Linked DNA regions of Arabidopsis thaliana. The protein of the gene in region 4 interacts with the protein of the main gene of each other region in a pairwise test. Each region holds a gene or a part of one and is shown on either strand. Other genes may lie near its edges. The genes, in order: SCAR2, AT2G34150, SCAR4 and RAC6.

Evidence for each region.
Region 1: the proteins of RAC6 (region 4) and SCAR2 interact in a two-hybrid assay, tested with the Arabidopsis thaliana proteins (one study listed by BioGRID).
Region 2: the proteins of RAC6 (region 4) and AT2G34150 interact in a two-hybrid assay, tested with the Arabidopsis thaliana proteins (one study listed by BioGRID).
Region 3: the proteins of RAC6 (region 4) and SCAR4 interact in a two-hybrid assay, tested with the Arabidopsis thaliana proteins (one study listed by BioGRID).

What each region holds. Positions count from the first base shown.
Region 1 is NC_003071.7:16,093,333-16,101,255, forward strand, and holds SCAR2 (SCAR homolog 2), read left to right. Parts: upstream 1-1,902; 5' UTR 1,903-2,217; coding exon 2,218-2,372; intron 2,373-2,550; coding exon 2,551-2,714; intron 2,715-2,797; coding exon 2,798-2,921; intron 2,922-3,009; coding exon 3,010-3,139; intron 3,140-3,324; coding exon 3,325-3,386; intron 3,387-3,508; coding exon 3,509-6,824; intron 6,825-6,904; coding exon 6,905-6,991; intron 6,992-7,081; coding exon 7,082-7,189; intron 7,190-7,465; coding exon 7,466-7,519; 3' UTR 7,520-7,889; downstream 7,890-7,923. Other genes in the region: AT2G38430 (uncharacterized protein), read right to left, coding at 1-64, 159-266, 434-514, 599-755, 841-1,009, 1,178-1,478.
Region 2 is NC_003071.7:14,418,735-14,425,376, forward strand, and holds AT2G34150 (SCAR family protein), read right to left. Parts: upstream 4,738-6,642; 5' UTR 4,526-4,737; coding exon 4,371-4,525; intron 4,128-4,370; coding exon 3,964-4,127; intron 3,958-3,963; exon of another isoform or gene 3,672-3,957; coding exon 3,548-3,671; intron 3,441-3,547; coding exon 3,344-3,440; exon of another isoform or gene 3,313-3,343; coding exon of another isoform or gene 3,253-3,312; coding exon 3,185-3,252; intron 3,107-3,184; coding exon 1,510-3,106; intron 1,423-1,509; coding exon 1,327-1,422; intron 958-1,326; coding exon 853-957; intron 758-852; coding exon 698-757; 3' UTR 529-697; downstream 1-528. UniProt on the Arabidopsis thaliana protein: Involved in regulation of actin and microtubule organization. Part of a WAVE complex that activates the Arp2/3 complex. Regulates trichome branch positioning and expansion.
Region 3 is NC_003076.8:272,318-279,581, forward strand, and holds SCAR4 (SCAR family protein 4), read right to left. Parts: upstream 5,570-7,264; 5' UTR 5,366-5,569; exon of another isoform or gene 5,280-5,365; 5' UTR 5,245-5,279; coding exon 5,090-5,244; intron 4,765-5,089; coding exon 4,601-4,764; exon of another isoform or gene 4,510-4,600; coding exon 4,386-4,509; intron 4,303-4,385; coding exon 4,173-4,302; intron 4,110-4,172; exon of another isoform or gene 4,037-4,109; coding exon 3,975-4,036; exon of another isoform or gene 3,863-3,974; coding exon 1,237-3,862; exon of another isoform or gene 1,159-1,236; coding exon 1,072-1,158; coding exon of another isoform or gene 1,018-1,071; exon of another isoform or gene 989-1,017; coding exon 875-988; coding exon of another isoform or gene 848-874; exon of another isoform or gene 753-847; coding exon 702-752; 3' UTR 515-701; downstream 1-514. UniProt on the Arabidopsis thaliana protein: Involved in regulation of actin and microtubule organization. Part of a WAVE complex that activates the Arp2/3 complex. Regulates trichome branch positioning and expansion.
Region 4 is NC_003075.7:17,023,317-17,027,783, forward strand, and holds RAC6 (RAC-like 6), read right to left. Parts: upstream 2,551-4,467; 5' UTR 2,199-2,550; coding exon 2,100-2,198; intron 1,980-2,099; coding exon 1,892-1,979; intron 1,806-1,891; coding exon 1,696-1,805; intron 1,622-1,695; coding exon 1,558-1,621; intron 1,132-1,557; coding exon 1,067-1,131; intron 990-1,066; coding exon 924-989; intron 837-923; coding exon 735-836; 3' UTR 521-734; downstream 1-520. Other genes in the region: AT4G35940 (uncharacterized protein), read left to right, coding at 1-277. UniProt on the Arabidopsis thaliana protein: May be involved in cell polarity control during the actin-dependent tip growth of pollen tubes.

The DNA.
Region 1 (7,923 bases), on a different chromosome or scaffold from region 4:
CTTTTACATTTGGATCAACAGTTGCTGATTCCAATAGCGCTTTAATGTCACCTATCTCTTTATCCTGCCGATCAAAGAAAGATCACACAACCTAAGTCTAAGAAGAGCATATTATTTATCCATATATTGTAAAATATATATACCAAACTTGAACTTACACTGAGATACGTTATTTCCCTCTTAGCGGTGAGCGTTAGTCTCATGTCGAGATTCTTATCAATGCATGACACATCAACAACCAAATGCCTTACAGGATTAAGGTCGACCTATATAAAAGCAAAACTCAAGATTCAAAGTTAGATATTAAAGGAAGACCAAGTAAAAATGTGACATCTATCAAATTCTTGTTTGTTTTTCTTGCTAGTCCGAGAACAATAAAGAAGAGATTTTACTATTGGTTGTAGTCACTACACACATAAAACTCGAGACTTGCCTTGTACATACTGAGCCGTCCATCTTCCTTACGGGTACATTTACAGTTGATGGTTGCATTAGGACGAGAATAATGCGATACCTAAAAATAGAAGCCAAACCCAAATTAGCACATTCAAATGACATTCGAAGTATAGATCTAAATCTAAGAAAATGAAACGAGTACCTTCACAGTGTATGTTTCCTTCTCCTTATCAATAGAGAATCCATGGCTTGGTACAACATTAGATTTTATGTGTTGTAAGTAAGACATTGGGAGATCAGTAGAGAACATCTTATTCAAGTTTTTTAGTGAACATTCAGCCACAGGACCAGCTTGACTCCTGGTTTAAAGTTGTATATGTTAGAAAAAATATAAACCCATTCCTGAAAACAGCAAAATGTGAGATCAGACGGTGAATCGCTTACCCATAGAAGAAAATTTTACCAAACCGAGCAACCAGTCTCGATACATGATGATGCTCCTTCATTTCAGTCTTAACTCGCTCATATGCCAACACAAGATCCTCCATAACCTTCTCAGCTACTAATAGCCACTGAGTTCTCTCATCCTTCCTCTCTCCAATATTCATATTCACTGAATATAAACATATAAAAAACCATACTCAACATAGATACAATGCATCTTCTTTTGGCAAAAACGATAATAGCACAAACAAAATAGTTAATAGTATTGTTTATTTCAGCATCTAGATGATATTCATTTTGTCAAACACATAGCCAAAGTCTACTAATAGTTTCTTACCATTTTGGACATTGTTGTTCATCAGTATTGAAGGCTTTTCTCCTTTTCTACACTCGACAGAATCTGAGGACAAGGGCACAAACTTAACATACGAAGGAACATCGTCCTCAATTCCATTTGAACCAACAAGAAACCATTTGGAAATGGAATCTCCTGAATAGATAATCTTGTTGCGTTTAACACTGCTAGTGCTACTCTTAAAGTCAAGGTTCTTCTTGAATTTTGTAACAAGAGAATCTGGAACAGGGGTAGGCTTTGTCGGATCCTTCGAATGCCTCTTATGTGGTGGAATATAAGACATGTCTAAACCTGAAACTCACAACAACATCAACCAAAAACGATTTCAAGATAAAACAAAAAAATCTCAAACTTGGAGCTCAAATAAGAATTGCTTTACAACGAGCGAAGAAGAATATAAAGACAGAAACTTTAAGGTGAGAAGAGAGAAGTCGAATCATACCTGTAGGCTGTAGTCGAAACTCAACGTCTTTTAATATTCCTGCAGAGAAGTAACAGTGACACTCAAATAGACTCTTCGCTCCCTTTTTAATCTTTCAATTAACTCTCATCCGTTTCTCAAAAATGACTTTAATTAGATTGTGTTTGGTTTCGATAGGGATCACAATTGGACAAACCTCAAGCCTGAAACTATCAGGTTCCCGAGGGGTTTGGTCTTAAATGCAGGTTTTATTGCAACAAGGTTTTGGTTTTGTAAGAATTTTTCACTAAAAGTAACAATTTTTTAAGTATTTCTGGCTATCGAAAAATAGAAAAAGAAATGTTTTCTTAAAAAGTCTTTTAGCGTTGAGGTTCTCAGACTCTCTCTCTCTCTCTTTGCCCCTACCTATATCCGCCGTCTTGAATCCACAGAAAGTCCGTTTTAGTTTCCAGCTAAGTGATGTCGTCACATATCTAATGGTGGTCGGTCACTACTTAAATGAAGACAGAGAAGCTTTTCTAGTCTTCTTCTTTCTAAAGTTCTTACCTTTAGAATTTGAACAAAAGTATCAGCGAGCTGATCAGACAGAGAAGCTCAAACAATGCCGTTGACGAGGTACCAATCTCGTAACGAGTATGGATTAGCAGATCCGGATCTGTATCAAGCTGCTGATAAAGATGACCCTGAAGCTCTGCTTGAAGGAGTCGCTATGGCTGGTCTCGTTGGCATTTTGCGTCAACTCGGTGATCTCGCTGAGTAAGTTTCTCTCCAATCGAAATTTCTCTAATTGATCTCTAAGCGCATCGAATTCGAAGTTTTGGAATCCGTTGTTGTAAAGCGACAATTTTGATGAATCTGGATTTGGTTGTGGAAGTGGAAAAAGTTTTGATTTTTTGATGGAATTGTCTTTAAATTCATGTAATTTGTGATGAAGGTTTGCTGCTGAGATGTTTCATGACTTGCACGAAGAAGTAATGGCTACTGCTTCTAGAAGCCATGGTTTAATGGCTCGTGTGCAACAGTTGGAAGCAGAGTTTCCTTCTATAGAGAAGGCATTACTGTGTCAAACCGATCATTCGCCGTTTTTCTCTAACAAAGGTTAGATTGCTATGAACATTCATGATCTGGTCAGCTACTATGATGTTGGATTATTTCAACATGATTCTGTGACTCTATTTCAGGTGTGGAATGGCATCCGAATCTACAATTGGAACAGAGTGTGGTTACAAGTGGTGACTTACCTCGTTGTGTGATGGATTCTTATGAGGAATGTCGAGGTCCTCCAAGGCTATTTCTTCTGGACAAGTATGATTTAGCCTTGTTTGATAGGACTTCTTCTTTAGTCGTTTGTTAGAGAAGGATATATGTAACATCTTCTGATGGTTTTGATTAGGTTTGATATTTCCGGAGCTGGGGCTTGTTTGAAACGCTACACCGATCCATCGTTTGTTAGGCTTGAAACGTCTTCATATGAAGAATCATGGGATGATATTCAGAGAGAGAAAAAATCACAGAAAGCAAAGGTACTAGCTTCTTAGTTCAGGTTGTAGCTTATGGGTTGCAGTGTGATCCTTCTTGGTTATATTTTGGTTTCCATTACATGGTAGATTTTCTGAATAGTAGATTTTCTTATGCTCATGGTGTTTTGAATGTGTAATCTTACCTTCCATTTTGTGATTCTCATAGTTTTCCTTCTATTCTCTTGTAGAGGAGAGCATCTCAGTGGAGGAATGGAGGGACACCTGAAAATGCATTATCATCACATGCCAAGTGAGTATTATCTATTTTATGTCTTGTGTGTTTGTCATTTCTGTTATGATATATATGTAGTTCCTATATTGGTATCTGACTGTGACTAAAAATGGCTGGTTTCAATTATTCAACTGGCACAGATTGCATGAATTGTTTTTGGAGGAGCATTTAGAGGCTCATCATTCAGATCCAGCGCGCGTTGTGAAGTTGAAAACCAGAAAGCTAGATGGGTGTTCCCTTATTTCAAAATCAGGGGAAAGCTACATGGAGAAATTTGTGCAGACACGTGTAGATAGTAAGATAAGTTATGAAATAATTACCCAAAACCCCGGATTGTTGACATGGAATATGGATAGTGCTAGAGATGTAGTAACCGATATACCTGAAATCAGTATGGTGGGTGCTATGGATAAGTCTCATGGAGGAAGCAGAGCAGAGGTTTCATTCCCAAGTGAGCAGGAAAATGTGGCAAATGTTAACATGAATGGGGGTTTTATTGAAAAAGATATAGAGACAGTGCCTGAATCTACATACAATGAGGTCCGTGGAACAACTATTACACAGGATTCACAAACGGTTTTGAACGGGAAGCCAGGATTTTTTCAACAGAGGAGTTATTCTGAAGATTTAACCAGTGAGGCTGACAATTATGTGGACGCACCAGCCACCATGGAGTCGGAAACAGAAACAGACGATGAGTGTAGACCTAAGAGTAGATCAGATACTTTGAAGGATGGGAACCATCATATATATTCTGATGCGGTTGAAGAGAGAATGGAGGACCCACCTCAGTTTTCATTTTCTCATTCAAATGGAAACACACCAGTTTCGGAAAATGGGCGAAGCTCGTTTGGGAAAAAGAGCACTAGTTATTCTTACTCGGACACTGCAAGCATATCCATTGATGATCAATCTGATGGAGAGAAACTTTCGGGATGTTTACCTTCTACTTCTAGTTTTAAGAGTGAGTTGGTGGATTCTATGTCTCACGTTACTCCTGAAGCCAACAAAGTGTCTCATGACTTGAATGTTCAGGAATCAGTTAGTAGCAGCAATGTAGATGGCCAGACATCATTAAGTTCGAATGGTACATGTTCAAGTCCAAGGCCAGTCTCTCAGAATGATCAATCATGTTCACTGACAGTTCAATCTTTAGCATCAGAAGTCGTTGAAACTTCTCCAGAACTTGTTAGGCTTGATCTAATGAAGGGAGGCAATGATGGAAGAAAGGTGGATCCATTCGATTCTTCAAAATCTTGTGCATCTTTTGATGCTAAAAACTCTGACTTGCCTTCTGAAACTTCATCAATTAGTTCAACTTCTGAAGGAAGCAGATGTGATAGTACCATTGAGAAGAACTGTATGGTTGCTTCAAATTTAGTAAACTCAGGCACTAGTCCTCAAGCGTTTGTTGATAGTCAAACTGGTAAACAGTTACCTATCGCTGATACTGATTTTGAGACAAACTCTATAGTTGCTTGTTCTGAAGTTTTAGCAAACTCAGGCAGCGATCCTGAAGAACGTGATGGTCGTTGCCTAACAGGAAAGCTGGTACCTTGCTCAGCTGGGGTGGGGATGGAAGTTTCCCCTGATACGCCCTCTAAAGTCTGTGGTCCAAGTTCAGCTGATGGAATTCACTTAAAAGATACTCTGGATGATGAAACCGATTGTGTTTCAGTGACTAATGTTGTTGTTGACGTTGATTCTAAAAATTCTGTTGCCGACGTTGGTTCTCAAAGTTCAGTTGCTGACATTGATTCTCAAAGTTCAGTTGCTGAGATCTCCGATGAGCATTCATGTGCCTTTGGCAACACGGCTGATGTGTCTGTTTCAGAGTCCCATGAAGACACACTAGAGAATGGAATGTCCGTGCCTTCTGATTTTAACTCGGGAGTAGAGAAATTGGCGGGAGATGCTTCACCTACTTGTAGCAAATGCGATGACCATATCTCTCATGAAGGTTTTCATGACCTTTCAGGGCTGGACAACGCAACCACAGACATTGTCCCGAACGTTGAGCTTGATGTGTCTGATAATGACAATGACACTTCCAGTGGTGGTGTTAATCATGCCGTTAGTCTGTCATCGACTCGTGGGAAGGGTTCTCTGCCTTGGATTTCGACCAATACTTATCAATCGTCTTCTGATGCTGGAGAGATTTTCCATGATACAGTTGTAGAGTCTGACGGGACACTACTGGAAGACAATAATCCAGAGTCGGAAATAAAAATGCATAAAAGCCCTCTGGAAGTGTCTTCAGAAGGTCTGAGTACTGAACCAGACAACAAGGACGTAGAAAGTATTGAATCTACAAGTCCCAAGCCATCTCTGGATCAAAGGAACAGGGACACAGAAACCAAATCTCCTGGTGAGAGCATTCTTGATGATAATTGCATAGATTCCACACAAGTGTATAATCTGAACCTTTTAGAGAGTGAGGCTATCGACCAGGCAGTTAGAGAGCAAACATCTTATGCAAGCCATGAAGTTGCAGATGAGGAATTGCTGCAGTCAAATGTTTTCAGGGGCTTAGAGTTTGAACCACAATCAGCAGGCTTAGAATTTGCACCACAATCTGCAGGTATAGAATTGAACAGACCTAAGCAAGAGTTGAATCTGGATCCTACTTTTCCTAGCTTTGGTTTTATCCCTGAGACTATTCCGCCCAATCCAGAGGACATGCCACCCCTTCCTCCTATGCAATGGCTTATTGGAAAGGTTCCACATTCTTTTCCTACCTTCATGGGGGAATCAGTCGAAACCAGTAGTTCTGCTTTATCAGCGGCACCACCCATTGGTTCTAGCTTGAATGTTCAAATTGGGTCTCCACCATCAGAGCTATCTGTATCTTTAGGAAGTGACGAATCAGAACGACTTCCTGGAGGGTTTGTTCACAATGCATCAGAAAAGCCATTGCAATCATCCATTCAGTTCCCAACCATGAGCACTGATTTGAATAGTCAATACGACAGTTCTGAGCTCCCTACAATACCTTATCAGGAGTGCATAGAGGATTTTGGTTCTGAGGAGAACAATCTTTTGGCTGACCATGCAGCTCAGAACCACGAGCTCGTTTACTCTCAAGCGTCGTCATTGCAGCTGCCTCAGGTTAAACACGAAGATTTCAAGGACGATGCTGATGTGCATGAATCTCAAAGTTCAAGCGATGATCACCATTGTCCTGAAACCAAATCCCTGACGCCAACTCAATCAACAAAGGTAGAAGATAAGGGTCATTCGGTTCCTGATGCTTCAAATGCAGAAACTGCAGAATCATCAAACACGTCAGTTCAGAAGATAAATCCTGTTTCAGTGGGAGATGCTATGTGGCCTGTTAGCTGTTTCTCTGTGGCACCTACCTTGGACACATATAAGACAGAAGTGGTCCCTACGGTTAGGCTTCCTAGGCCAAGAAGTCCGCTTGTCGATGCTGTTGCAGCTCATGACAGACGCAAGGTACAAAATTTCATCTTGTCTGCAATACCATGCCTTTGCTAAGATTATGTCTCTAATCACTTGTTCTGATGATTTGCCAGATGAAGAAAGTCTCTGAGATGGTCCATCCACCAATCAAATCAAAGCAAGATGACAAAGATTCGTTGCTTGCACAAATACGAAACAAGGTAGCACATGTTGATCATGTAAAATCCCAGATGGTCCTGTGAACAGAATTTTGTATTTGGAATTTTATGAGTTGTGTTTTGTTTATGCAGTCCGTCAATCTAAAGCCGGCAGTAACAACACGACCCAGCATCCAGACTGGTCCTAGAACAGACTTAAGGGTAGCTGCAATCTTAGAGAAAGCAAATACAATACGCATGGTTCGTTACTCTCTTTCCATCTCCTTCAAAGATAGTAAATGTTTTCAAGTTTTTTCACCTTTTTCTGTGGTCCTTGCTAATCGTAGAGGCTTCATGTCAAAGCATTTCAATTTGACATGAAAATCTGAGGAGTTTAGTCTCACATTATGTCTTAGATTGGATCCGAAGCAGTCTCTTAAGTGGAAACAATGAATTATAAGCCTGATCATAGACCAAATAAAATATCACTTTTTCTCTATCGCACACACATCTAAAACCGGTTGAACACTGGTGCAGGCAATGGCTGGAAGCGACGAGGATGAAGATTCAGATAGTTGGAGTGATTCTTGAAATCGATGATCGTTGGCTTTTCCGTGGTGTTCGTTCTTGTATCATGATGAGTGCGCAAGCACTTGGAGTCAGGTAGGTTATACAATCTCTATTTCAGACATATAACATTAAATACATACAGTCATTGGTTATTTATATATGTATGTATGTATATTGTGTACTGTTTTATAGGTGTGTGTATGTTGTAATGTAAGTAGATTCCGAAATTTGCAGTAGTTTTACGGAAATTTGTGTGTAGGAATGTTTCGTTCTTTTTTTTAGCTCATAGAACATTCTTTTAGTAGGCTATGTATGTGTATTTGAATACATACATAGATATGTATTGTGTGTTCTCAATCATTTGCAGTGTCCTTTGACTGTATATTTGGTCATTTGGATAACGAATATCTATGAGAATCAGCTAG
Region 2 (6,642 bases), on a different chromosome or scaffold from region 4:
AGACTACCACCCAGTCACCCACTTGATTTTAGACTTTTTAGTGTTTGTGGTTGCATCTTTTTTGGTAAATCTGGCTGTCTCGCCAATTTTGCTTTGCTCTAGTGATCCAATCAAAATAATTTCTGATTCTCTTTCTTTTAGAAATAATTTTTCCGAACATAAAAGTTTAAGAAATTTAACTTTAATAACGAAATTCATTATGTATAAAATAATTCTCGTGAAATTGTAAGAACTAAGAAGCATATCAAATGCTTATCTTTGATCAAAAAAAAATAAAAAATGCTTATCTTTTGTTGTATCAGATAGAAAGTGAAAATATTTAAAGAAGTGTACAAACAAGGACATAATCTTTTTTCTAGTGTGTCAAGTACTGACTCAAATTAAAGAACACAGCGAATTTCACGGCTTAGGGCTTCGGGTACTTATATAGTACTAATGATTATTTTCCAAGATCCTATATTTGCCAACTCACGTTTTAATGTATACCTAAATAATTTGTTTAAAAAAATAATTAATTCAGTTCTTTTGTTTGTTTAATTATCAATAATCATCTAGAGATTCAGACGTAACATATTCTATAATTATTTTATTTTTCAGAACCTTATCTCTTTGTTGAAGATACAAATATAAACGTACGACAAAATCGACCTATATCTACTACACAATAAACATATGAGAACCGAAATGAATGATGTTGTCATGTGTCGCTATCGCTCCATGTATCGCTTTCGCCTTCTCCATCGTCGCTTGCTACAGCCTGATATAACAAGTCCGAAATGTAAGTGCTTTAATGACCAAAATGGTACTTGCAAACTGAAACGTAAGATTATAAATGTGAATAATGTATGGAACCTGTCGGATAGAGTTTGCCTTCTCTAGAATCACGCTAATATTGGTGTTCATTGTAGTTTCTGATGATGATGTCTTTGTCCTGACCACACGTCTCAAGTTGAATTGCTGTTATGATTCAAAAGGTTGTTGTTGGTTAAGAAAAATGCATTTTATGACTTTGTGGAAACAGAAATGAGAATTGGAGGATCAAAAAATCATTTCTCCCATTTCATTCCTATACAAACGAAACTAAAAACATGTTCAAAATATATTTCCATTTCGATTAAGAGGGAACCGGGACAAAAATGAAATACGAAAACAAATGTATATATTTTTAGTTTTAAGGGTTTGAGTTTTTTTTTTTTTTAATTATCGATTATGTAAATATGTTCCTTAATAAAGGTTACTTTGAATTAATAGAATAGGGAATGCATTTTCATATACCACAGAAATTTTCTATATAGCTAAAATATAAAGCAAGAATAAAAGACTCACTTTAGTTCGAATTTGATGCAAGAAGTCTCCAGCTTCTGTCTCATTTGTGTTGCCATGACTTTGCTTATAATCCCTCACATTGTTCTTCAGATGTACCTATCAACCATCACATAAAATACCTTATACCAAAAAGATGAAAAAAAAAAAACAGTAAAAAGGAGAAGAAAACTTAATTCTCCATACCTTGGTTACAAGTTTAGGATCAGAAACAGTGACAATGTGTGGTTCTTTTTTCTTGACTGCAGTTAAAGAATTGTTGTTCTTCTCAAATGCCTGTGTGAGAGCATCCTTTAGAGACTGCTTGTTGTTATCCTCGAATCCAGCTGACGGTATTTTCGAAACCATCCACTGTAACGGTGGGAGAGGCGGTGGTAATGGCTCAGCTGGATTTTGGAGGTAAGAGACATTTTCAACTAAACAACCATTTGTTGTTTCAATCTTTGGAAATGGAACTGGTAGAGAAGAAGCTTCAGCATTGACTCTGTGAAACGAATCATAGAGCTCTTGTTGCCTCTTGCTTTCTCGGATACCTTCTGATTCTTCTTCCCACTGTTGCTCAGACATTGACACAGAGCGATTGTCATTGTCACTGTTGTCTGAAATGTAAGAAGAAGATCTACAGAAAGTGTCCTTGTCTGAATCAGAATCAGGAAGTGAAGTAGCAATAGTCTCTGGCACCAACTGAAACGAAGAAAATGTATATTCATCTGGAAGTTTTAGCTGTAGTTCAGAACTTGGCAAGGTTTCTGAGGATTTGAAAGATATTTTCATGTGATCAAGTGGAGGAGATGAAGTAAACCAATCAAAAGGAGCCTTATAATCTTCTCTTAAGTGCTCTTGGAAGGTTTCAGAATCAATGTCTTCAACAATCTCTGGAATAGTTTCTGCTATAATTTTCGGTTTCGATGGTTTCAGTCCTAGGAGATTTCCATTAGTCCATGTTTTAATGGATTCAGTGTCACAAGAACTCTCAACTTCTTCTGATTCTTGATGTTCTTGGATACCACTAATATCATACAAAGGATTTGAGAAGCCATTGGAATAACTATGAGTGCCACTACTTATTTCCGAAGCCGCCCATGGATCTTGATGAATCAGTTCATCAGATTTATATACCGGTGATGATGATAAATGTAGCTCTGATGTAGCAGCACATTTTGTCTCATCAACACTAAAGTTGTTAGAAATCTTCTCTGTTTCTTGCTCTGTAATATCATTGTAAAGATTCTTCTGCACCTCTTTAGTGGCTTGGAAAGCTTCATCATTTTCAGATTCTGAATCGATGGTGTAAAGTGCATCAACAAAATCATCCCCTTCGCTTTCAGTCTCATCCTCATTGTCCATTTCCAGTTCCTTCGGTTTGATATCTTGGACCGCTTCAACCGCTGAATGTTCTTTAAGTCTTGATACCGGTTCAGCATCCAAGACAAAGTTAGTTTCCATTACTTCAGGAGCTTCATCTGTTGCACACTGCAGAACATTGCATTCCACTATCTCAGCTTTCTCGTGCCAACTAACACTAGAAGAACCACGAGCTGTTAAATCTTGAGAAGGACTATCACTTTCACTTTCACTTTCAGAAAGAACTGAAGCAATGGTGCGAGAACCCGGTGTAAACCTTGAAGAAGAAGATACCCTCTTCGGTTTCTCTCCACCACTTCTTGAATCGAAAGAGAAAGAACGATGCTCTTGCAAGTCGGATTTCGACTCAATTTCAATCGTTGAAGCAGTTTTAGAGGTAGAGGTTCGTCCACTGAAGCTTAAAGAAGTACATGTCTTCCTGAACATCATATCATATATTCATGTTTTGAGTCATATATGAAAACATCTCTACAATGTCAAATCCAAATGTCATTACCTGTCACTCTGGTTAGCCACAGAGGCAAGTCTTGATATATCTCGACCGCGTTGTATAGATTTTTTCTTCTGCATCATCCATACAAGTTTAGGTAGCAAACAAGAAAAAGAAGAAACTCTACAAAACATGGTATTAACAGACTGAATCTCTAAAACAAACCTTAATCTCTGAAGGTTTAGAAGCTCTTGATGCTCTTTTGAAATGAGTAGGATCCGAGTATCGTTTCAAACAAGAACCTGGACCATTTATATCAAATCTGACAAAAACCGCTAAGAATCAGCATCATATTTATTATCATCAGTCTAAAACATAGCAGAAACAGTAATAACAAAAAAGAAAATGAGAGTTAAAAGGTGTATATACTTGTCAAGCAAGTGTAACCGCGGAGGTTCCCGGCAATCTTCATATGGAGTCATAATAAACGGTGGCAATTCGTCATACATAAAGTGATTTTGCACATTTGGTATACGAGGATGCCACTCCAGACCTAAAACAGCATGTAAACACTATGTTCATTAACTATACTTAAATTTTCTAAAGAACTCAAATAGTGAAAGATCATGACTTATTTAATTAAGATCCATAAGAAAGACTACTAGTATCATTCATCATCAAATTCTAAACTCAAAAAAGAGTATTTTAAGCTAAGAAGTTAGTGCAAAAGGCATGTGAGCTAGGGCCTACAATAAACTCAACAGGATATAAATTTTTGATTAAAGAACAAACATGTGAATCTAGACATTAAAGAAGATTGACAAGAGAAACAAGACAAAAGAAACCTCCAGTGTATGCAAAATGAATGTGATTTGTTTGTGCAAGCACTGTCTTTTGGATTGTAGGAACTTTAGCTTCTATTTGCTTCAATCTCATCTTCAATTTGTTGCTTCTTGATGCTGTTATCATTACCTCCTCTTGTATTCCATGGAATATCTCTGCTGCGAATCTGAAACAATGTGAGTTTAACATAAAAACTCAGGACAAGTAAGATTGGCTGAGAACCATAAAATAAGCAAATGAAGAAGACCAAACACAGCAAAATTAAAGATTTTACAGAGAATCAAAGAAGATCACTGACTCCATATTGTCACATTTTTACTTAAGATTTTTTTTTTTTTAAAAACATTTATAAGTCAATTATAAAAAAAAAGAAACAGAGGAAACAGAGTTGACTTAAAGTACTACTTACTCTGTGAGATCACCGAGTTGACGCAAGATCCCGACGAGTCCAGAAACGGCGACGTCGTCGAGAATCGCTTTAGGGTCTTCACGGTCGACTTTTGTGTGAAGCTCTTTTTGCCCTAAACCGTAGACATTCCTAACTTGGAGCCTAACAAGCGGCATTTGCTCTGTTCTTGAGAAAGATTCCGGAGGAATGATCAGATGGGTTTTGAAGATAAGAAACAAAGATTGAGTTTTTGTGGGTTATGTTGCTTGAGGTGGGTGAGAGATTATGGCAGCTTAACCGCCGAAACGAGAGAGAGAGGGAAAATTTGGAGATTACAAAAAGGTTTTTCGTTGTAAAAAGAGAAAAGAGAGACTCGGAGACATTGCTAACACCGCAAGCCATTCCCTTTTTCAATGTCATCATTTTAACTAAAAGTGCTAAGAGAAAATTACGAAAAAGGGCTTGGAGCAAAAAGAAAGGTACCCATAACCTACCCATATGGAGCGAATCATGATCCAAATTAGTCATTTGTTACTTACATAATTTCCCGAAAATAAACTTTAGTTTTTATAAGAATTTGTTAGTGCTAAACATAAATTATTTAAAAAGAACTATAAACATTTTTAGTCATGTGTATAACCCCTACTTGTAATACTATATTTGTATGCTTAAGTCATCTAATGAGAACTTACTCTGCTTAATCTTCTACTACTAGCTACTAAAACAAAAAACTTCTACTACTTGTAATATTATATCATATACATTTTGCACAAATATGGAGTATAAAACTAGAAGTTAAAGTTTGGATCATTGAATGAGCATTTGAAGACTTCTATTATAAAATAGAAATGCGTTACAGTTTAGATAGCGTTAAAGTTTGAATCATTGAATGAGAATTTGGTCGTTTGCGAGGAAATAGACTTGTTGAGTTGGCTACATATTTATTGGAGAACAAAACTCCCATAAATGAGGCATCAATACATACGTAACACTTGTACTCAAACTCTATAGCTGTGATTTGTTTTTGTTTTTGACACCAACTATATATGAATGATGATGGTACAATTCAAAGATTTTCATAATGAATCTAGTAAAGCGGAAGTGTATGTATTGCCGTAATGGTGTGCCTCTCGCATCCTTGATCTATACAATCAAGTTTGATGTTACAAGAGTTGCATAATATCTTCCATCTACACACGCTGCGTAGTGTGTGCGCGTGTGGGTGAATGTATTCATACATCTATATCTTACACTACTTGAGGACTTGCACACATGCATGTGGATGTGTGACTTACTCCATCCTCGTTTAGGCATATATACACAATAATAAATCATGCACAAGCATTTTAGATCTGTGCTTCTAGAGTTTTGGATCTGGCTCCCATTAACCAAAGCAATTTATCAACTCGAATTCTTTTGTCGTTTTTCTTGATACTAACATATAAATACATTTTATTTATAAACTACAGTTCAGACATATGGATCGAAGATCCACAGTACTACTCCAGTACTCCATACAAGCTAATACACAGTATTAGAAGTAATCAATTCTTATGGTCCTTGGTAGGTATAGTATTATTAAATAAGTGATGCGATTAGATCAATGCATGACTTTTAGCTGGTCGTCTATTTATGGATGCTACCTAAACATAAATTTAATCACATGTCATTTATTATTTATTATTACTCCTAAATTGTTCTGTCCATTAAATATTTTATAAGTTGTTACTTGCTACTCCTATCAACCATTAATGGTAATCTTTGACGCAGATTCTATGAGCTATACTATTGCATTGTTTTCCATCATATATTATCAATCACAAGTAACTCTTCACAAAAAATGGCGGTCAATAAAGTGACACTTACAAAACTCAATGGTTTAAATAAAAACTACAACATTGCTGAAAAATATACATAAATTTTAAACACGAAATTGGTTAACAAAACAAAATTGGCGGTCATCTCATGTTTTTTTTTATATCATAGTAAATCTCGAAATGTGCTTTGATTAAAGATCAGACCATCGAATGGTGCACTAGCATTCTCATATAATTTGACATATAAAATAGTATAAGTAACAATATACTAATATAGTAGTAGTATATTAATCATTTGCATAAATATAAAACAAGAATTGGTCCAATGACCCATCGATGGCATCAATGCCTTGTTCTTGGATGAAACGTGGCATATACAGTACGGTGTCGGATTAAGACATGATACCATAATTAGATATCGTATTTTTCGAAAACGTCAATATGTTGTTAGTTGATTTTATGAGAGGCAGGTTTTT
Region 3 (7,264 bases), on a different chromosome or scaffold from region 4:
TCACGAGACGTTATGACTCTTGACCGTGTTAGGCCGGATATCGTACGGAATATTCCTAGGATCGTTTACACGTATACCGTACCACTTCCACTAATCGTACTTTGATGACAATTCAACTCTTAGACTTGACTTTTTATTATCACTTCTTTTCTTTTTTCAACTTGGAAACGATTGTTCAAGGAGACTCAGACATACACTACGTGGCTAAATATTCCAACGACGACTAGTAGCATTCCAGTTCACACTTCAAATTTCAAAAAGTTTGAACAAATCAGAGAAGTCATAACAAAAACTTAGCGTTTCTTGACTTTTAAAAATACTTTGCTCTCCAACATCGTTTTTCATCTACTATCAGTATTTATCATACTTGTTGATTTGTGCATATGCACTGATGAAGGTTGAATTTAAAATGTATCTTGATGTAAATTACAAGTCCTATAACACTTACTTTTACTTATGTAAAGTATTTGTTTATGTGAAAAGATCAAACATGCAAATATGCTGAAACATCAACTGGATTGATTCCCTTTAAAAGAGGGTAAAATTGGGTGTACATATAAAGGGGAAAAAAACAGAGTGACTTACAATGTGTCAAAAATACAGCAATAAAAACATTACTTGTGAGAATACATACAATGTGAGAATTCTTCTATACAGAGTGTGATCTATATGTTTGTTACCTGCAGATTTGATTCAACGACTCACTCGCTCCAGCTATCTGAATCGTGCTCGTCGTCACTTCCCGCCATTGCCTATTTATATGTATGTCACAAAACCACTTTATCGATCCCCAAGATTATTATATCTTTTTCTTTGTGCAACAGATTATTATATCAAGTGTCCAAATTTAACCAAGAAGGAGAGAGGGAGAGACCTGGCGAAGAGTGTTGGCTTTCTCTAGAATTGCAGCCACCTTCAAGTTGGTTTTGGGAACAGCTACTTGAAAGTTTGGTCTCCCTGAGGCATCTGCTGGTCTCAGGTTGAACGACTGCTAAAGTTTTTTTCAAGTTAAATGTTCTATAATAGAAAACTGAATAAAGTGAAAAGGAAAAGATGAAATGGTGATTTGACCTTGCTCCGTATGATCTCTAGTAGTGAATCATTCTCGTCCACTCGAGCTCCAACGTGTGTCCTGTTCCCTTCAGATACTTTCCTCAACTGTAATCAAACACAAATTGAGTCTCATGATTAACGCGTGAGAGAGAGAAGAGAAAAATAAGCCATTGAAGTACTAACCATGCTTCTGTCAATGCCAATAACAAGCGTATCCTCGTCTCTTTTAAGCTTTCCAGCTTTCTGATTCTGATTATATGAGTTATTGTCTCGCAAGGTTTGTCGAAATTTGGTTTGTCCAGGTTTTTCTAGTGGGTGATCAACCTGAGGCTCTTCCTCTTCTAACTTTGCAGGGTGGGGATTGTTATGCTCTCTTAAGTTCTGACTAAACCATTCAAGTGCCATTGCTTCAGTCCTCCAGTCAGCTTCTAAGCCTTGGGCCGATTCTGCCAAAGAAAATGAATCCTCCGGAGTTCTATTTAAACACTTGTGTTTACTTTCCATATAGGTGTCGCTTGTCCCATTGACTCCTGAAGGAGACTGTTCCTCGGTTGCTTTAGATTCTTCTGTATAAATATGAAAATTATGGTTTTCACCATCTGTAACCGACACTTCTGATGGATATTGTGCCTCGTTCGCTTGAACTGATCCATTCTGTGTGTTTTCATCCCTCTGGATGTTGAAACTGTTGTTTCCACTGCCTGCAAGTGATGGCATTTCGGTTGATTCAACCAGCTTCCCCATCCACCATTGTGTCGGAGGAAGAGGCGGAAGCGGAGGTGTTATCTCCGGATTTGCCTGAGGTGTTTCATGGAGGGACGTGGAGAGGGGTAGTATGGACTCAGGGGATACGTTCAAGAAATCTTCTTCATCAGTCAGACCCTTGGAAAGAACAGACTCAGAGATATGATCATTTAATGATGTGAAAATTTCCTGGTATGGTGCATGAAGAGCTTCTATTTCAGTTATGCTTGAAGGAAAAACATCTAAAGGTGAACTTTGAACACCAACAGATCCATTTTGTGTAGGAGGAGACTCGTCTGATGATGTTCTTGAATTTGCTGACCCTGTTTCTGATGGACTTTCTTGCCTTTGGTTCTGTATCTGTAAGCAATACTCAGATGAAAGACATTCTTCTGTACCTAAAAGACTCTCCTGTGGATCACTAATAGTTTCCAATTCTTTCTGGGGCACGGTCTCAATGGCCTTATTATTCAGGCCAGTCTGGTTATCGTGATCGACATCACCTGCAAAACAAGTACCATCAGGAATTGGTACCTCAGGGTCACTACTATCATCTGAAACAATAGACATGGTTTGTGGATCCTCCTGTCCAGAATATGATGATATCTCAGCCAGATCAGGGTTGGCCAATCCGTCTTCCAGACAAGATGAGGCTGAGAGGCTCCCGTATCCTGTGTGAAGATCTCTTGGAGTATCTGACATCAGAGTTCCATTTTCTGAACTGATTTCAGAAGTTGAAATGTGTTTTGACTGTGCAGGATTCATGGAAGATCCGTCTTGGGAGTTCGTTTCATCTTCTTTTGGGGCAGCATAATCCTGTGCATCAGCAGACAGAGATAAATCTTCAAAGTTGTCAAATGTGCTAATGTAATGATTTGGAAGAAGAAAATCGGACTCCAATGCCACTGATGTTTCATTTAAACTCTTTTTGGTATCTGGAATGAAATGACCAGCTTCAGAAGAAATGTCCTCGGATTCCAGAGCCTCTATCTCTTGATTGGTTATGGAAGAGAACTGGTCTTCCACTAAAGCACTTACAGATATCTCAGATGCAGTCTCCACACTGAAAACATGTTGAGAATGAACATCATTGGTCCCACCCTCATATGCGTCCTGTGGCACTTGTGTAACCTTTAAAAGATGAGTTTCAGGGGAAATATTAAGCATGGGATCCCTTCTGACTTCAAAGACCTCACAAGCTTCAGCATTTGCTTTATTGGACTGAAGCTCCAAGTGACTTCCAGAATCTTCGGGAAGATTTGCAGGACTCTCGTAGCAAGACAAACTGAAAGGTGTTTGTAAGATCTCCAGAGTCCCCATGCCTGCGGAATCTATGTCCGGTGTCATCTGGGAAAATGACTCGTCTAAATCTACAGCAGCCTCTTCAGCTTTATGTGGTTTACTTTCAGGAGAAGCTCTCTGGATATCAGTACACAAAAGACTAGATTCTCCTTCCTCCGGTGAGTGGCGCAAAACATTAGAAAACTGAGTCAGAACCTCTGTTTGATTCACTTCTGCATTAGTACAGATCTGCGGCTGACCAAATCCTGGAAATCCATGGTCACATCCAGCCTTGTCATCACTCCCTGCTTCCTTTACCTCTGACTCCGTGGAAGCAGGTGAATCTGCGTCATTGTTCGTCTTGCAACACAAATTCACAGAAGAGCTACTTTCTAAACAAACCACTGGTGACTTCTCATTAACCGTAATCTCGTGAGGAACAAAAGGAATTTCAAGTATTTCATGACCAGCAATGGATTCTATCTCCATCTCATTGTATTTTCTAGTGCCTCCACTGTTGGAATAAACTAAGGAAGGTATTGGTAAGTCTTCTTGTTCACTGCATACTGTAACTTCAGTTTCCATTGCCGGAGATGACTGATCCATAGTCCCATGAACTCTTTCACAGTATGGTGAAGAATTCTTGAGGAATTTCTCCATGTAACTTGCCCCAGAGCTTGAGTTAATCGGAGGTCCATTCAGCTGTCTTCTCTTCAGTTTCACATGGAATTCAGGATTTCTGTGTCCGTTCTCAACATGCTCCAAAAAGAATAGCTGATGCAACCTGTACTATCCAAAAAGTAGCTCATGTCACCAAATCAAGTGCCGATCACATATATGAACTTTAGACATAGGAATGACAGAAACAGAAGTAGATATAGAGCAAGAGTGCTCACTTGGCATGTGATGTCCGTGAATCCTCAGGCGTCTCTTTAATAGTTGTGTGAGATCCTTTCTTCTGTATTTGAAATAGATTTGATCATATGTAACACATAATACCCAAATGTGCATTTTTCAGATGCTTATTTTTACAGACAGTGGCAGAGTGGGCATAGTAAAACCAGAATTAGGAAATGTGTAACATGATTGAATACCTTTGATTGACGTAGTCGCTTATCTTTCCCGAGTTTGGATGTTGCTACTACTGCTGATGTAGTATGTGTCTTCAATAAAGATGGATCAGAGTAACGCTTCAAGCATGATCCAGACCCAGCAACATCAAACCTGAATAACAGCAGAAACATGATTAAAAACTGCAAATGGATATTTCCTTATGGTGAAAATTCTCATGATATACTGAAATGTACTTGTCGAGAAGGAAAAGCTGCGGCGGACCATGGCATTCCTCGTACGAATCCATTATACAACGAGGCAAGTTCCGTGGGGAAATCAAGTCTTCTTTTGTTTGCAGATCAGAATGCCATTCCAAGCCTGAGGACCTAACTAACAATTCAGTGCTTGGGATCACCAATAGCAGCTTATATCTCTTATACTAAACATTAGAGTAAGATAGATGACTGGCCTGGCTCATAAAAGAATGTAGAATGATCGGTTTGAGAGAGAATGGGTATCTCAACTGAAGGGAAGTCTGCTTCGAGGTGTTGGAGACGCATCGCCAAACCATGACCTCGTGCTGCAGTTGTCATTAGTTGCTCATGCAGGCAATGGAATACCTCAGCAGCAAACCTTATTAGTATGAAAAGAGACAAAAGAACATAAATGCCAAGGGATTGATTCCATAGCGACATAGAGGTTTCATTAGAATTAGATAACCAAAAGAAGAAAAATCATCTCATCAGCACACAAGAAACTTGAACTACACCGAATAAGATTTTTAAGCAAAAAACAAAGAGACCACCCTAGATTCAGGTTTTCTCTAGATTCAGAGTATATAGCATCGAAATTCAATTCCACGGAACCTTCAGTGTCCCATTCTCTACAGTAAAATTCCTCAAACGGTAGGGTATATTGGACCGAAATTGAATTAAAAAAAAAAAAAAAAAAAACATACTCAGAGAGGTCGCCAAGCTGGCGCAAAACGCCGACGAGACCAGCCATGGAAGCAGCTTCGAGCAAAGCTTCAGGATCCTCCTTATCGGCGGATTGGTAGAGCTCCTTATCCGCTAAGCCGTACTCGTTCCGTATCTGGTATCTCGTCAATGCCATTGTGCTCCAATCGATTAAAGTAGAAACCCTTAATTCTTAAAAACAAAAAAAGAGCATCAGAAGAAGAAACTGTGCAGAACGAACCGCCAAAACGCGTCAGGAGAAAGATGAAATCTTTTACCTTTATAGATTTTTAATTAATTTTAACGACGCGAGAGTGGTGGAATTTATATAACGGTCCGTGACATTCATCCAACGGTTATAATCATCGCCTCACCGTGTGGTTGCCGCATGTGATCAGAACCTCAGGTAAAATAATTTATTCAACCGGTGAACATGAAAGTAGTTAAAACCGTTGATTATCCATGCTTAAAGATGGACAAACTTTGCTTAGAATCATAAGGTATTATAATTATTGCAAATCAATTATATTGTACTACAAGTATATTGTCTACAAGTGGTTGTGGTTGAAATCAGTTAGTGTATTCAACCTGCTTTTGATCGTTACATCCACCTTCACCTAAGTTTTTTATTTTAATTATAATTCTTTTTTTATATTATTGACTACCAATAGTGATCAAATAGTGGGAATTATATATATATTTCTCGTCGATTTATTAGCATAGAATACATTCTTCTATTCAATTCTTCGTATGTCTTTAAATTTATTTGATAATGCAGTTCAAATCAAAAGCACTAATATCACGCAAGGCTTCCAAGGAAAGATTAAATGATTACTCCATTTATTTTTGGGCCAAAAAATACTCCAGTAAATGTTAAATATATAAACGCATACAGTATATATTCTTTATATGATAAAGTATGGTTTGGTAGATTGTTATTACCATCCTGATGTTATGTAATGAGCTTAATTCGTCGTGCATGATGTGTCGTTAAAAAGTCAAACATCAAATGACGACCTTAAATGGTTGGGCCTGATGGACTTATTTGAGTCTAATAGAAGACAGTAAACTGTTATGAGCCCATTCCATGACCCATATTAAAGTGCTGGATAAATATGCTAAAATCCACAGCAAGGAATAAATGAAACGCAGCGTATCAAGTTGAGCAAAGGTCGTTTTTGAGTACGATGGAAACAGGTCACCAAACGTTATCACTATGCCTAGGCTTGTGTTTGGTACCTGCCCCTTCTACATTGGTCGATCAAAGAAGAATTACTGACCTTATAATTTTGTATATATCTTAATAATATATAAAACCCACAATTTTGAAATACAGCTCAGAAATGGCTGGATAATTAGTGATTTCGAGGTTCAAAATTCTATGGCGAGGGATGGTTTATATAAGAATTACTATTACAAGCTTAGTTTGTTTTAGCTATAATCATACTCTCATGTATTAGACGCGTTTCTTTCATTTATATGTTGTAATAAATGAGACGCATTTTGTGTGGACGACAAATCATATACGAGCAACTATTTTGATATATATCCCCGTTTCCTATACATGCATTAGTTTCTGAAGAGATTATTGGTACAAGATAGAGAAAGGAGGAAGAGGTGAGTCGACCCCAAAGGAAGGCTGAGACCCAATCAAAAACTGACACATTCCACAAGGTGCACTTAACCAGGACGTCGCAATTAAATTCCAATTTTTATGTATGTGTCTTGTTTGTATCATTTTATTTGACACTTGATCAAACTTTGATATACATGCAGTGTACTTATGGCCCAGCACACGTTTCTCTTCATTGTTTTAATCCCAAACTAAATTGCATCTCATTTGGTTTTTCTAATAAACCAGAGATCATGTAGTTGAGTCCAGCGGCTATTGATCCAAGTGTATTGATTACAAACTTGTGCACCGTAGAGAATTCATTACACTGAGAACCTTAGATGTAACAAGAAACTCAATCCAAAGTTTAAACAAGAAATTCAATCGTGTATAGTAGTTTTTTGCTATGAATGTGAATATCATATAAAATGAAAAGTTTGGTTTTACATGTTTGCGCTTGTGACTGTATTTATGTTTATTTATACGTATAATGATGGTGTTAAAAAAAAAAGAAAAAACAAATTAACCTATACTAACTTTTATACTAAACCAGAACTCGTGGCTT
Region 4 (4,467 bases):
CCTATGCAATTGCCCTCCATCCATGGTGTTGCAATTCTTGGACGTAGTTGAGAATTGGGTCCCTAACACGATCGAGAGAAGAGTAGACCTCATTAACTCTGAAGATGAAGAATGTTGGTGGTCCATGAAGAAGCCGCCAAGTAGCACCACAGAAATATGCAAACAACTTAATAGAGAGAATGAGATCAAGCAAGTAGGCAATACAATGGGGTGGCCATGTGCTCGCCTTTTACCAGAAGCTGATGTCTACGCCTTACCTTACACAGTCCCGTTCTGATAACATCAAAGAGCAGGAAGTTTTTAACAAGGAATCTGGTCGAGACATCCATGTTCTGGACCAGACAGTTTTTTGGTTTAGCCTTAAAATTCCAAGGTTGTATAAGAAGAACACACTGTTTGTTATTCTTTGCGGTTGGTAACCAATATAGTAATATCAGTATTTCGTCTCAATCTCTCTTGTTCTTATAATAATAGAATGAGAAATCGAAATGGAATTTTCATGTGAAGTGGATTAGTAACATTATCACAATTGATAAAACATTTGTAAATAACTAGACAAGCTTTCTCGGCTATCAGTTAAAATAGAAGTTGAATTAACCTCACAATTCGTTTTGTACGGAACTAAGAGATCACAAATGAAAACGGAAAACAACAACAAAAATGAAAAAGCGATACTTTTTTAAACCACCCTGTCATCCTCATCTCAAAGAGCTTCTTGACTTCCATGAGTGCTATTACAAGATGGAGCAGGCCTTTTGTGCTTTGTTCTTCTTTTTCTTCTGCTTTGGAGGTTGAAGGACCACTCTGATCGCTGCATCAAACACGCCCTTCACGTTCTGCAGTTATAGTCACATTGTTTTCATCAAAAGATGAAGAATCCAACACCGAAAAGATGATTCATGAGATGTCTTTTATTCGTTTACCTCTTGTGATTTTGAACTGCACTCGATGTAAGCTGGCGCTCCAATTAGCTTCTTCAGCTCCTCTCCCTTCCATGCAGAGAGGGAAAATGCTTAACGGTGGTAAAGCTGATAAAATTGCACTGAGGAAATAACTGTATTCTTACCTGAACAGTGGTAATAGGGACAGCACCAGGATGGTCGATGAAAAACTGTTTGTCATCTCGAAGATCTGACAACAACCAAGGTTAGACAATCAAAAAGGCCAGGATCATGAGTTGACTGAAGATCTTGCAAGTGTCTTTTATAAAGGTATACACTTGCTATACAGTAGCTATTTCATTGGAGGATGCTTAAAGGCGTGTGTTATAGGATATGGTTGCTTTATCACAAGAAGTGCAAGATACAAGAAGAAGCCTGTTGACCAATGATATTCTCTGAAAACTACCCTCAGTTTCACCTAACGAATACATCTTGAACATGTACAAGTTTTAACCACAATCAAGAGAAGGTGAAGTTTTATGTCCACTAATGTCATGATATATTATACCAGAGCAGCTTAATAAAGTGAAAAGGAAAATGGCAGTGTAAGCATGGGAATCAGACATATATATAAATAAATGCATAAACAAGGACAAATGTGAGAGGAGGAAGTAACCTAGTTTGGTTCCAACAAGGACAATTGGGACACCAGGAGCATAGTGCTTCAACTCAGGAATCCACTGTAAAAGAAAAGAAGCATCAAAATTTGGAACTCTCAATTGTTAAATAGTCGACCAGTTCGGACGAAACTGACCTTCTTGGAAACATTCTCATAACTAGCCTTACTAATGAGAGAGAAGGCAAGAATGAAAACATCAGCACCACGGTAACTCAAAGGTCTTAATCTGTTATAGTCCTCTTGCCCTGCATAAACCAAAAACATAATTTCGACCGATTCATCAAGGAAAGCTCTCTCACCAAGGATTATGAATTGGATCATCATTCATTACCTGCAGTATCCCACAATCCAAGATTCACCGTGGCTCCATTAACAACCACATTTGCACTAAAGTTATCGAAAACAGTCGGAACATAATCCTGTTCCAATGGAAATGTATACAACATTTTTAGTATGTATGGATCCCAATTCATATATGGCACAATCAGAATCAAATGAATCAGATATCAAAAAAAGGAGGGAGAATGATTGATGAATACCGTGGGAAAGGTGTTGCTGGTATAAGAAATCAGCAAACAGGTTTTACCAACAGCTCCATCACCAACGGTGACGCACTTTATGAACCTTGATGCGCTCATTGCCTCTTCTTCTTCTTCTTCGAGCCAAAATATGTCACAATTTACCAAAAAACAAAAGAGATCAACCTCAGATTTAAACCTGAGGAAGCCAGAAACACCCACAATGTGAAGCCAATTCCTCCGAAACTTCGACCATTATCTTTCAATTAACCATCTCAAAACCCTAGATATGTATAATGTGGAAACAAACCCCCCAAATAGAGAAAATCAGAAATGTGAAGAAGGAAGGAAGATGAATAAACAAAAGGGAACGTGAGGACGATGAATTGGAGGATGCGAGAGAGAGAGAGAACAACAACTAGAGAGAGAAAGAAAGAAGTAGAGAAGAAAGTGATGGCCGGAAATAATTGCCATTGAAGCGTTCGATTAATCTCAGCCATTCAACCTTCCGACTGTTTTGCAATCTTTTTACTTTTTTTACTTCTTCTGTTGTCTTTTAAATAATTACTATTTTACTTCTTCTTCTTTTTTCTGTTTGATTTTTTAGTGTATATTCAAATTAATTTATTTATCTTGTATACAAAAAAGTAAAATAAAGGAGTTGCACATAATGTATTTTGTCTTTGTTGTTTAAAATGCAAATAAGAAAAATTAACACTGGCTAAAATTATACGTGTTTTTAACTGTCTGTAAAATTTCTAGTACGATTTGTTTTACTATTCTAATTCATTTTTTTACTAGTTTTTCCGGATGCTCACCAAATGTGAAAAAATCTCTAAGTTATGATTCAATATTTATGAAACCAATCAGCCAATTGCGGTACAATAAAGTTGTAATGCACTAGTTCTTCCGCATACTCGCCAAATTTATGTTAAAATTTCAAGGATGTTTGATGATATTGAATGTGGTTAGTTGAATTTGCATGTTGGCTAGTGAGAATGTGGTGTATGGACCAAACCTGAACTTATTTGTATGTCAACAAAGTGTGGTAATATTTTCTGCCAAAAATTGCAATAATCTCAACTAACAAATATTTTACCGAGTATGTAAAATGTCAACATTGGTCATATTTGCCTTTCGTGAGGAAAGATGTCTATGCTAATGAACTTATTCGGGTCAACGTAACCTTCCTTGATAAGAAAACCTGCGACAGCGAGAACAAAAACGTTAAGAGTTGGGAATCTTTCACAAACCATGTAATTAATTTGTCGGAAAAAGTTAGCATTTGAAAATGTTCAAAGTAAAAGTTTTTATTTGATGTGTGTACGATGATACAATCACAGTTTTGATAAACCAGGATTCGTGGAGTTGGAATCAGTTTTATCAAATCAACATTCCAAAATTACTAACAAGTTTGAAAATATGCAATGACAAAAAATCATAAAAATCATAAATACACGAGCTACATATGGATGAATGAGAGAGTTAATCTATAAAATCCGACCAAATAACTCACCAAGTCTACGATTTATTATATGGCTTTTAACAGAGTAACGACTGAGAGAGACATATAAGAAGAGCATTGATGAAACTAACCCTGAACATCACGGCGAGTAGTCAACTGGAAGTCCAAGATGATACCCCGGCGCAACAAGCCCGCTATCACCGCCAAAGGTTGCCGTGGATCGTTTGTCGTGACTGTGACGGATCATTTATCTCTTCTCTCTCTCACCTGTAATTGTCAGAAACAGTTTAGATGGCAGAAATTTCTCAAAGATAAATTACACTATAATAACTCTCTTTAACATTATGACTACAATTCCCAAAATCAAGATGTTTCAGAAAATACACGGCTCAATTCGTCAAACAAAAAGGAGAAACATCAGATTCTTACCAAACCCTAAAGCAGAGTCTCAAAGCAGAGTTCTTGATTACGATGATAGTATATAATGAAATCACGGGGAAATTGGGTGAACGCTCTCTGTTTTTCTTTCTTTGCGTTGGTTGTAGTGAAGCTTGATGAGCCTTCCATTTCTAGCTATTTGCTTGGAGAGAAACCTGCAAGAACACTCGAAAAAGAAAACAGAGGAAGATGTGAGTTTAGACAAAGTGAAAATAGTATGATGCGTAAAACTGAAACTGACGAAACTTTAGTGAGAAGAATAGACCATGAAAGTGTTTCGATCAACAACATAAGTCGTAGAAAAGTAAGGAAACATCTAAGAATTCTTACCAATCTTAAAAGCAGAGTTCGGCTAGTGACTACGAGAAACCTTGGACGAACTTTGTTGAGAGGAATGAAACTTGCTCTCGATTAACTTTGGATGAACTTTGAGCTCTCTGACTCTCTCTCTCTTTGGTTTTTCAACTAGAAAAAAGACTTTTGCTT